3 linked regions of the Lepisosteus oculatus genome follow. The protein of the gene in region 1 purifies or fractionates together with the protein of each later gene. This does not show direct contact. Links are inferred from orthologs where the notes say so. Each region holds a gene or a part of one and is shown in the gene's direction. Other genes may lie near its edges. The genes, in order: tsen2, clp1 and tsen34.

What was found.
Region 2: the proteins of tsen2 (region 1) and clp1 purify together in Homo sapiens (affinity purification with mass spectrometry; 3 studies listed by BioGRID and IntAct, counting the BioPlex papers as one, with this or other methods). This does not show direct contact. The link is inferred for Lepisosteus oculatus from reciprocal best matches to the Homo sapiens genes TSEN2 and CLP1.
Region 3: the proteins of tsen2 (region 1) and tsen34 purify together in Homo sapiens (affinity purification with mass spectrometry; 3 studies listed by BioGRID and IntAct, counting the BioPlex papers as one, with this or other methods). This does not show direct contact. The link is inferred for Lepisosteus oculatus from reciprocal best matches to the Homo sapiens genes TSEN2 and TSEN34.

Annotation. Positions count from the first base shown.
Region 1 is NC_090699.1:62,258,977-62,262,723, forward strand, and holds the start of tsen2 (tRNA-splicing endonuclease subunit Sen2), read left to right. Parts: upstream 1-993; 5' UTR 994-1,180; intron 1,181-1,617; 5' UTR 1,618-1,684; intron 1,685-2,717; exon of another isoform or gene 2,718-2,857; intron 2,858-3,360; 5' UTR 3,361-3,406; coding exon 3,407-3,595; intron 3,596-3,674; coding exon 3,675-3,741; intron 3,742-3,747.
Region 2 is NC_090701.1:41,819,973-41,823,719, reverse strand, and holds the start of clp1 (polyribonucleotide 5'-hydroxyl-kinase Clp1), read left to right. Parts: upstream 1-1,092; 5' UTR 1,093-1,192; coding exon 1,193-1,193; intron 1,194-3,069; coding exon 3,070-3,317; intron 3,318-3,747. UniProt on the Homo sapiens protein: Polynucleotide kinase that can phosphorylate the 5'-hydroxyl groups of double-stranded RNA (dsRNA), single-stranded RNA (ssRNA), double-stranded DNA (dsDNA) and double-stranded DNA:RNA hybrids. dsRNA is phosphorylated more efficiently than dsDNA, and the RNA component of a DNA:RNA hybrid is phosphorylated more efficiently than the DNA component.
Region 3 is NC_090708.1:2,598,862-2,602,608, forward strand, and holds the start of tsen34 (tRNA-splicing endonuclease subunit Sen34), read left to right. Parts: upstream 1-857; coding exon 858-1,220; exon of another isoform or gene 1,221-2,128; coding exon 2,129-2,264; exon of another isoform or gene 2,265-2,863; coding exon 2,864-3,142; exon of another isoform or gene 3,143-3,468; coding exon 3,469-3,656; 3' UTR 3,657-3,747. UniProt on the Homo sapiens protein: Constitutes one of the two catalytic subunit of the tRNA-splicing endonuclease complex, a complex responsible for identification and cleavage of the splice sites in pre-tRNA. It cleaves pre-tRNA at the 5'- and 3'-splice sites to release the intron.

The DNA of each region.
Region 1 (3,747 bases):
ATTTTGGGAGTCTAACAAGCCTAATATAAGAAATTCAAATGGCATTTTCGAGAGCGAAATCTTTATTGCCAAAAATCCTATTGTAACTAATAGAAACAAAATATGTTCATATAATCATTGGATTGACATCACTGCTATTAAAAGATATACACAATTCACTGCAGGGTGCCATAACAAAATGACAACTCCTTCTTTGAAAGCATTCCTCATCTTCGAGAGCATATGAGGAGCTGAGATGAAATGTTGGAACCTGTTTTTTAGTACAGTTTACTGCCTGATGGTAGCTCCATGATTTGTTTGTTTTTCCCTGTGGCTGTTATGAAAGCCTGATATCCCAGCAGGATTCTAGTTGGGGTTCCTATTTCTTAAATCATAAACTTGTTCTTGTGAAATGGGAGGTCAGACAACAATTTATTTCGAGGCTGAGTAATCAAATTCTTTGGCTCTTTCGTACACTAGCTGGGCACAGACAGGGCTTAGTGATGACAAACAAACCGATCAACACAACTTGCGGTCACTGCACACTTCAATTCTTGTCTTTTCACTTAAAAATATTCATACAGACATAGAATGACCCAAGTAAGAGGAAGAAATGGTATAGGACATACAAACTGTGGATATATACACAACACTATGCATACATCTACCTAAAAATGTGTACTGAAAAAAATAATTATAAATGTGTTTTTTGTACATTAGCATTTCTGTTAATTGACCTGACATCGAACATGCTCAAAGGTACGAGCGGGACCTGATGAGCATGTAATGATACATACACGATGTGAATTACTGCCTCGTAGTTTGACTACACGTTGTGTTCCAGCAAACAGTATTGAGTTCCTGTCTATAGTAAATGTGCTTTAGATGAGACCATGTACAGTAGCAGATATAGATGGTACCGCTGGAAAATGTGAGACAAATACACCGAGAGCAGACCCTGGATAGGCGAAGAGGGAGGCGAGAGCGGGGCAGGCGATTAAGCTGCTTGGCCGAGTCTTGCCTTGCTTTTGAAGCGCAGCTACAGTATAACCGCTCAGCTGTGCAAAACTGCAGGGTCTGATGCAGCCTGATATTGGAGATCCATCGACAGTTAATTGATCAATCCGAACTGCAGACCTACAGTAGGACGACGGGGAGTTTCAAGCGGGCAGGACCAGACGAAGACATTCGCAATGAGCCGGTGGGTGAACATTCGTAAATAGTTTAGACCTTGTTCCTCCTAAATGATTGTTTTAGCAATGAGTTTAAATTAAGAATGTTGAAGTTGGTTGAGGTCGACTTTAAGGTAGGTTTTAAACATTTTAAAAAAGATTGGGACTTTCTAAAAGAATGGAAATGGAAATGGAGTCCTCAGCTAACTAAATAAAACAGCGTCTTGTCGATAATATAGTGGGAGGTAACAAGAACAATAGATTTTCTAAAGTGCATTTACATTTGAATATCTACATCCTTTGCTTTTAAATATATATACATCTTGACTGTCTGGTTTTTTATTACGTGAGAGACATTGGTGCTATTATTGGAAAACAAAACTTCCCTTCTCTTTTGCGGTACTTATCAAAGAAAGTGACACTTTGTACTTGCTCATTAACGCATTTTATTTTTTCAAACCAGCAGAGATGCCAGTCACCATCACATCTGCCCACTGCTGACAAACCGCCAACACTTCACTGCAGAGGGCTAGGTGAGACAGGCTGCCGACAGTAAAGTTAACCACGCGTTCAGCGAAGCGTCTGGTACAATTTCCGACTTCCCAGGTCACAAGATCAACAGGCGGTCTCTTGAAAGCTGAGGCAATAGGCGCTATGAATTAAGTCATGTAAAGGAAACGTGTATTACCCATATGGTCCTCGCTCAAGTGGTAAAACCATATACAAAATATTTCCTCCTATTTTGCACAGCGGTTTTCTTCCCCAATGATCACAAGGTATTTTAAATTCATCCATACTGAACTACTGCAGTACCCACCTTGGTGACTCACGAAAGCCTGCAACAACAGTTAAACTACTGTACACAGGTCACTCATTAGCTAAATTCGAAATATAATTTCATTTAACTATAAAGGTGCCCTAACCTAGTGTTAGTGATTATGTTTTTTTTTATTATTTAAGTCTAATTTATGTCTCCATGTCTTAAGTAAACTGAGATGAGACTCCTTAAGATATGTAATGTGAAGATATGATCTATATAAACGAAGTTTTTTCGATTTGTTTGAAACTTTTTTTTAAACGTCAGGCAGACCATAGTACAGCTGTACATTATTGTACAGAACCTCTATTTTATCGTGCGCATTTGATGTTTTTTTAAACAGTCTGATTTTACAAAATACTTCTGTGCAATTCTAGAATAAATCTTTATTCGAACACAAGGCGGCGCAGTGTTTCGGAATATATCACGTAACAACTGTATCTTCAGTTGAATAATCAAAGTGCTTTAAACTTCTTTTTACATTAGCTGTGATAAAATAAGTTTACTCGTTTATACGTATGTGGCTTATATATACTGAGTGAATTTTAACAACTACATTTTAAGTGTCTTCGTATGTAGCGTATTTCAATTACTTAGGCATCCCTTAAACAATGGAAATCAGAATACCATGCGTGTTCTAGACTAGAGGTATCACCAAAAACGGCCCCCATTTCCAATGTATTGCTGTTTGTCTTACCAAGGGCTAAAATTGTTGGCCTTTGTTTAAACTTTTGTTAGTAAATTGCTTTATAAAAAGGAACCAAGTTACAGAACTACACGTTTCCGATCGGATACAATGTTGTGTAGCACATATTTCTCACGTGTGTAGCAGAGTAAGTTACGTTTGGTACTGTATGTATTTTTTTCTGAGGACCCGCTTACAAAACGTGTAAGTGAACTGTAGCTTTACGAAGCTGTAAGAATGTGCTGCATTGGGTTTTCGGTGTTTTTGTATTAGTACAAGGAACAAAGTCAGTTATGTTTTGCTTATTACGGATGTCTATCAGTTTCATTCATTGCATCTGATACGAGGATACAATGACTGGCTGTAAGCGGAACACAGCTTGATCGTAAATTTAAAATGGAAAAATATTTTAAGTAGAATACTCGCAGAAATGCATTTAAAACCATTGAAATGTCTGTGCTTTGCTTCTGATGAGATCATTTCAACTTGGTGAAAACTGTTTATAAATAAATGATATTCTTGCGTACTGGTGAGGTACAGTATACACAGTAGCTTACAACTATTTTCAAATAAGAAGGAAGTACCTTTGATGTGTATCGTAAGAAAACGTGTTCTAGAGCTCTCCATATCATGAAAGCACCAAGTAAATAATAACCTGTGCAACACTTTAATGTTTGCTTTTTTAATTTCCTGTTATCCTACATCAGTCTGCAAGGGAATTGAACTAGGTCTCTAGTCAAGAAGCACTGTGAGATGACAGAAGCCGTCTTTCAGGCGCCTAAACGACGAGCCAGGGTTTACGAGTCCTATGCGGGTCCATTCCCTGTGACAGTTTCTGCAGACAAAGGACAAAATAAGGAATGCAGGATCTACAGAGCTGAGATTGTAAACCAGCATGTCCTTGTGAGAGATCCCGAGGATATACAAGCCTTATATGGAAAGGTGTGTACGATGTTTATATTCTCTGATTACTTTTTCATCCGATTGGTTTCTAAAAATGGTTTCCTGCTTGTTTTTGTAGGGTTATTTTGGGAAAGGTATCTTATCAAGGAGCAGACCCGAGTACAACATTTCAGACAAGTGGCAGAGTAAGT
Region 2 (3,747 bases), on another chromosome or scaffold:
TGTGACCTTGAGCTCTCCTGTGATCCAGGGCAGGACCCCAAACCTATGAGTTAGCAGTTAAGCCCTCAAGACCTGTTTCACTGTTCTGTGCATGTCCAGCTGGCCTAGCTTTCCCCAAGCTCTCCTGAGTGGAGGTGTAACTCGTCTGTGCTACACTGGGGTTAATAACATGAAAGGGAACAGGGGTCTGGGTTATTCGCCCACGTCCCTGTTTATACCTTATATTCTAACAAACTGTTACTGACCAATCATAAAAATGTTTATGTATGAACATTTTGCTCATCTTCAAGAACAAACGCCTGCTGCTGGTCTCATAAAAGGGCCTCTACCAGGGGGCCACTGACCTCAGTGGTCAGCTTGATCCTCTCGGGTTTGAGAGTCCAGCTGGCACAGCTAGCAGCAGCCATTCCGGCTGCGTGTTTTTCGCAGTCTGAGTGGTAAACAAAGGCATTGAAAAAGATCTCTGAGGTAAGGCCAAGGGTGACCGATGCCGCTCACTGCCGCCTTCGATATAACTTGCATACATATACACAGAACTAATCACTGCAAGACACACGTGTGCACCATTGCTGCATTCCCGCTTGCTGAGCGGCTGTTTTCAAAAACACCACGATACGCGGTTGGGCGTCCTGAAAGCAAACAAAGCGTTTGCGCATGCACTTCTGTCTCTTGTTCGCCCAATCAGAATTGGAGCCCGTGGCAACGTCATCCAAACAGATTGAACGAGTTACGGAGAGCCTTCTGGGAAATGTAGTAGAGTACCGCCTTTTCTAAACCGTTTTTCTCAATTAAACGTTAAAGTAACTTGAAAGTTAAATATTTATGTAAAGTACAGATCTCAGAACACTGTACTTAGTGTAATGTAGAGAAGTTTTTCTATTTCATTACTTCGCAACCTCAGCATACTTGTGTTTACTACTCCTTATGAAGAGGTTACCAACATTAACTCAACATTTATTTATTTAAGGTTATCAAAATTGTAGTACACAAGAAAGATTTAGCACGCCTGACTAGCATGAACACTCAAATCCACTTTCTAAATTCAACACCAACCTGCAGCAGCCTCTGAACACTGGTTGGTCTTTGTGTGTGTCGTCATCATCATGCGACGGAACGTGCTGCAGAAGGTGGCTCGAGGTGCTCTTCGGTTGTTTTTAAACAGCGGCGTGGGGCGCTAACGGCAAATTCATGAAGTAAGATTTGATTTATTGATATTTTATAAGTACTTTTCAGATGATTGTTATACAGGTTTTTTATCTTGCTTTCCTGTCAAGTATCATTCAAGTCATAGAAATTATTAAAATGTTGACTAGATAAACGCTGCGTTTAATCGTGACCTGTCTTTACTGAACTCAAGTTACATTTTGATTATCTTTAATTGAGAAATCCAGAGTTTTTAGGCATACCAAAGATGACCTTTCGCTTGTAAATTATGGAATAGTGTCTTGGTCGATATCATGTAGAACTAAGCAGCCAGATATTTGATTCTTGTCGCCTGCGCTGGAACCATAAGTATTTCCTACTCCAGTCATAGGTGGCTGTAGAGGAGCCGGGGACGAGGATCTGTATAAAAAATATTTACACTCGCTCTGTACCTTGTTTTTGTGAACGGAACTGCAGTTACATAAAGTGAAAAGACGAGGTCTTTCCGTGACTTATAGGAATGTTTTCTTGTGAATGGGTTTATTGCTGCAGTAAGTTGTATGAGCCACGTACATTGACGTGAGCGGACGGAGACAGAACGCGAAGTGTCTAGTTGAACTCAAAAACACGTATCAGTTACTCGTATACGTGTAACAACACCCTTGGAGAATCTGCATTCACTGATGTTTATTGAGCAGGATCAAATCTTGGCTACAAAGTTAAAACTAGAGGTTAGTTTCACTCTGAACAGTTGAAAAAATAACATTATGGGTGTCACGCCTTCTTCAGGTCTGTCTCTGTCCAGTGTCTGTACTGTATTAACCCCTCTCTCTCAGTGCAGTGTTAATGTACTGAAGTGTCCAGTCAGTGTGTCTGGACTGTATTAACCCCTCTCTCCCAGTGCAGTGTTAATGTCCTGTAGTGTCCAGTCAGTGTGTCTGGACTGTATTAACCCCTCTCTCCCAGTGCAGTGTTAATGTCCTGTAGTGTCCAGTCAGTGTGTCTGGACTGTATTAACCCCTCTCTCTCAGTGCAGTGTTAATGTCCTGTAGTGTCCAGTCAGTGTGTCTGGACTGTATTAACCCCTCTCTCTCAGTGCAGTGTTAATGTCCTGTAGTGTCCAGTCAGTGTGTCTGGACTGTATTAACCCCTCTCTCTCAGTGCAGTGTTAATGTCCTGTAGTGTCCAGTCAGTGTGTCTGGACTGTATTAACCCCTCTCTCTCAGTGCAGTGTTAATGTACTGAAGTGTCCAGTCAGTGTGTCTGGACTGTATTAACCCCTCTCTCTCAGTGCAGTGTTAATGTACTGGAGTGTCCAGTCAGTGTGTCTGGACTGTATTAACCCCTCTCTCTCAGTGCAGTGTTAATGTACTGGAGTGTCCAGTCAGTGTGTCTGGACTGTATTAACCCCTCTCTCTCAGTGCAGTGTTAATGTACTGAAGTGTCCAGTCAGTGTGTCTGGACTGTATTAACCCCTCTCTCTCAGTGCAGTGTTAATGTCCTGTAGTGTCCAGTCAGTGTGTCTGGACTGTATTAACCCCTCTCTCTCATTGCAGTGTTAATGTCCTGTAGTGTCCAGTCAGTGTGTCTGGACTGTATTAACCCCTCTCTCTCAATGCAGTGTTAATGTCCTGTAGTGTCCAGTCAGTGTGTCTGGACTGTATTAACCCCTCTCTCCCAGTGCAGTGTTAATGTCCTGTAGTGTCCAGTCAGTGTGTCTGGACTGTATTAACCCCTCTCTCTCAGTGCAGTGTTAATGTCCTGTAGTGTCCAGTCAGTGTGTCTGGACTGTATTAACCCCTCTCTCTCAGTGCAGTGTTAATGTCCTGGAGTGTCCAGTCAGTGTGTCTGGACTGTATTAACCCCTCTCTCTCAGTGCAGTGTTAATGTCCTGGAGTGAACAGTCAGTCTCTCTCTCTCCCTCAGTGATGACCGCAGAAGGGGAGCGGGGCAGTGATGAGAGTACTGGTGTGCGCTTCGAGTTGGAGCGAGAGACGGAGCTGCGGTTCGAGGTGGAGTCCGGAGAGCGGGTGCAGATGGAGCTGCTTTCTGGTCTGGCTGAGGTGTTTGGGTCAGAACTGAACCGCAACAAGAAGTACAGCTTTGGGCCCGGCTCCAAGATCGCAGTGTTCACCTGGCAGGGCTGCACCGTCAGCCTCACTGGCAAGACTGAGGTACACCAGCCTGTTCTGCGGTTGTCTGGGCTGATACTGAAAGGCCCTCAGGAGCCCATTTACAGCAGGGTGTCCAGTCCTGGTCCTGGAGGGGGCGCTGTGTCTACAGCAGGGTGTCCAGTCCTGGTCCTGGAGGGGGTGCTGTGTCTACAGCAGGGTGTCCAGTCCTGGAGGGGGCACTGTGTCTACAGCAGGGTGTCCAGTCCTGGTCCTGGAGGGGGTGCTGTGTCTACAGCAGGGTGTGCAGTCCTGGAGGGGGCGCTGTGTCTACAGCAGGGTGTCCAGTCCCAGTCCTGTAGGGGGCGCTGTGTCTACAGCAGGGTGTCCAGTCCTGGAGGGGGCGCTGTGTCTACAGCAGGGTGTCCAGTCCTGGAGGGGGCGCTGTGTCTACAGCAGGGTGTCCAGTCCTGGAGGGGGCGCTGTGTCTACA
Region 3 (3,747 bases), on another chromosome or scaffold:
CAGTTTCCTGCTACTTGAATGACCTAAACTCGGTCTGACACCTCCAAAGAAGGCTCCACAACCGAAACGTTTTCCTTTCCTAGAATAAACCTTTACCTGTTCCTTAAAGATACAACTTACCTCTTTATTAAGAAAACATTAAGAAAAGAGTTGATCAGACCCAGCCGAGGAGGCCGCCATGTTGACTGACGTCACCGCGTCCATGGGAACCGCCCCCAGGTCGCCGGAAACGCCCGAGCCCTTCCGGAGACGACCGAAGGCTGCCATATTAGAGTTGAAATGGGATCGAGTCGTGTTCCTCCGACCGGGTGAGCAAAACCAGTTAGAGGTTTCGTGCTCTCGCCGTTAAATAGAGATAACAGCTAGGGTTTTGCATTAGAGCTTATGTTCCACTTCTGCTTAAGCAGCTTAACCTCAGTTTGAGATCCAGTATTTCTAGGGAAAGCGTAATGTGCACGTGGAGAGCTGTCTGTTTAGATAGATGCTCCGGATTGCAAGTTATTTACACTCAAATACAACGCGTGCGTTAAATTAAGAACTGTCCAAGTTGAATATTGCATAACAAAGTAACAAGTACTAGACACCACAGTACAGCAGGGTTATTTTATTAAATATTCTGATTAAGATTATAATATCAACGTGTCTCTTCAAGATTTCCATTGCACTGTCGGACTCGAGCGAGGAAGGGTTGCAGATTTGCAGACTGAGTTTCAAGTCCGAAGGCACATAGCAGGGAAAACCCGCTGCTTGATGAGTTATGCACGCTCCGTGAAGGCTGCTGGTCGGAGATAAACGGAGCTAGGAAACGGGAGAAAAAGTTTCAGAGGAACAGATGAAATAATATAGCTGTGTACCCCATGGCCGCACACCCAGGAGAGACGGGGTTTGAAAGTGAGCCAGAGACTAGGGGGGACGGGAGATGCAAACAGCCAGCCGAACCCGGGTCCGAAGAGGAGAGGCTTCCGGTTGAGCCCGGTTTGGAGACGGGAACTGCGGCAGCCCAGGTCTATCTCTGCGGCTCCACTCCTCTGCTGTGGAGGGCAGCCGACGTCCGGGGGGCCCGGGAGCGGGCGGGGGTGGTGGGCACGCTCATCGGATCCCTGGCCCGCCAGCCCCGCCAGAACCTCCGCTTGGGCCGGCCGGCCCAGCTGCTGCCGGAGGAGGCCCGCCTGCTGAGGGACACAGGCCGCGCCGTGCTGGTCACCGCAGCTCCGCCGGAGGTGAGCGCCGTCCTGGGTTTTCCTGCCTCCGTTTCCCGACACCCCGCGGTGAGAGGCTCTGGCTGTGTCAGCTTGATAGGTGACCAAGTGACGGGGAAGATCTGGTTTAATTCATCTTGGCTCTTCTAGCACGAGAAGAATGTTTATATAATGATTTATAGCCAGTTTGTACATGGGGTACACTGATATATAAACTGGCTGTAAATTAACTCCCAGCTGGCAGTCCACTGGAGCCCAGCAGGTGTGAGCCTGGTCAGTACCTGGATGGGAGACCTCCTGGGAAAGCTGAGGCTGCTGCTGGAAGAGGTGTTAGTGGGACCAGCAGGGGGCGCTCACCCTGCAGTCTGTGTGGGTCCTAATGCCCCTCGTCCTTCGGATGAGACGTAAAGCCGAGGTCCTGACTCTCTGTGGTCTTTAAAAATCCCAGGGAGTTTCTTGAAAAGAGTAGGGGTGTAACCCCAGTGTCCTGGCCAAATTTTCACCTGGCCTTTACCAGTCATTGGCCTCTTAATAACTGGCTTCCTCTTAAGAACTGGCTGAACGGGCTTCATCGCTCTGCTCTCCTCCCCACTGAGAGCTGGTGTGTGGGGAGAGGACTGGAGCATCATCCAGGTGGGGCTGCACACTGGTGGTAGTGGAGGGGATCCCCATTACTTGTAAAGCTCTTTGAGTGGAGTGTCCAGAGAAGCGCTACATAAGTCTAAGGATTATTATTAATAACTGGATTTGGCTGCCTCACCCCCTGCCTCTCTTGCTATTGAAGTCTTTGTCTGTATTGACTTTGTCTGAAATAAGTGAAAGTCTGTGACCTTGTTCAGAATAGTTCCTCATGCGAGTGCCCCCCGAGTCTCCAGATGGGGGTCCGGAGTTTGAGTTTGAACGTCAGGTAGGAAGTTTTTTTCTTCCAGGCTGAAGATGGCGTGAGGGCAGAGGAGGTGGAGAGATACCGAGAGAGGCTGCAGCACAGCTTCCTGGAGCAGAAGAAGATCGCCCTGGAGGACAGGAAGCAGGTGTTGCAGAGAGTGATGAACCAGAAACAGAAGGGTAAAGGGCTGCAGTGAGGCGTACGCCGAGCGGTTGTACGAAGCTGGGGCTGCCTGGCCGACCTCTCCTGGCAGCCTCCCAGCTCAGAGGGGTTGTTCATGTCACACTCGCTCCGAGATGCCAGTCTGTCTTTCTCCCCCGTCCCAGACTCCTTCGCCTTGCTGTCTGCGGGCAGCTGGGGGGGAACGTCCTTGCCTGTGGAAGGGGTGCCGATCTCCTCCGCCGAACGGGGATAGGCACGCTGAGCCGGTTACGGGAGGGACTGTCCGTCTGAAGCCCAGGCCGTGTTCAGCTCTGCTGGGTGCGCCGGCCCCAGTCTCGCGCCGCTCCTGACCGCGATCGATTCCCGGCGCTCCTCGCGGCTGCCGTGTCGAATTGTGCCGCGGCAGAAAAGGACCCGCGCCTTCGCTGCTGTCCAGGGGGCGGCGCTGTGCGGCCGAGCGGGCGTGGTCGAGTGCCAGCAGGGGCAGCAGCTGAGCTCCGCCGACTCCTCGGCCCCCGCGGAGCTCCACGCTGCCCAGACCGCGGCAGGAGCTGGCTTCCCTTCTCTGGCCCGCTCGCTCGGCCCTCTGGGACTCTGACCCTTCTTCCTCTTCCAGACGGGGGCGCCGCCGGCGCGGAGCTGCCACTCAGGGATCGGCTGAGCTCCCTGGAGAGCTCCTTCACGTTCCCCGAGGCGGCGACGGCGGTGCAGCTGTGCACCGCCAGGGCGCGACTCGGGTACGAGCCGGAGGAGCGCCTCCTGATGGCCGCCGACTGGCCCCAGCCGCGCGACGAGAGAACGGAAGCGCGGTATCGGGTGTACCGGGACCTGCGGCGGCGGGGCTACTACGTCACGCCCGCCGGCAAATTTGGAGGAGACTACCTCGTCTATCCAGGTATGTATTCACCGGGAGCCTCCGACTCCGGTCCTGGAGTGACTGATCTCCTAGGGAACTCCCGGAAGTAATCAAATAAGCAAGTAACGTATTCGATGAAGGCAAATGATTCGTTAACGATCTCTAAATTGCTTAATTTAACAAGTGGCTGGTCAGGGCTAGCCTGTGGCAGGCCTGTAGAAGCCGGTGATTTCGCGATGAGCTGTGAAACCCGTTGGGTGGGGGCTCTCCTGGACCGGGGTCGGACCCTCCTGTGCTGCGTCACGCGAGACCGCGCGCACAGAGGGGTGTCCGCGCCTCAGAGTGCCTGTCCGCCTCTCCTCCAGGGGACCCCCTGCGCTTCCACGCTCACTTCATCGCCGTGTGTCTTCCCCCGGAGGCCGAGACGCCGCTCAGCGACCTCCTGGCTCTGTCCCGGCTGGGCTCCAACGTCAAGAAGACCGTGTTGCTGTGCTCCCCGGGCGAGAGCGGGGGGGTCGTCTACACCTCCCTGCAGTGGAGCGGCATGGTCTAGGCGTGGGGGCGGCGGTGAGGAGGAGGGGGCTCCTGTGGGGTGCGGAGGGACGCCCCGGGGTCCCGCCGATGACGAGGGTGCTGTTGGAAAG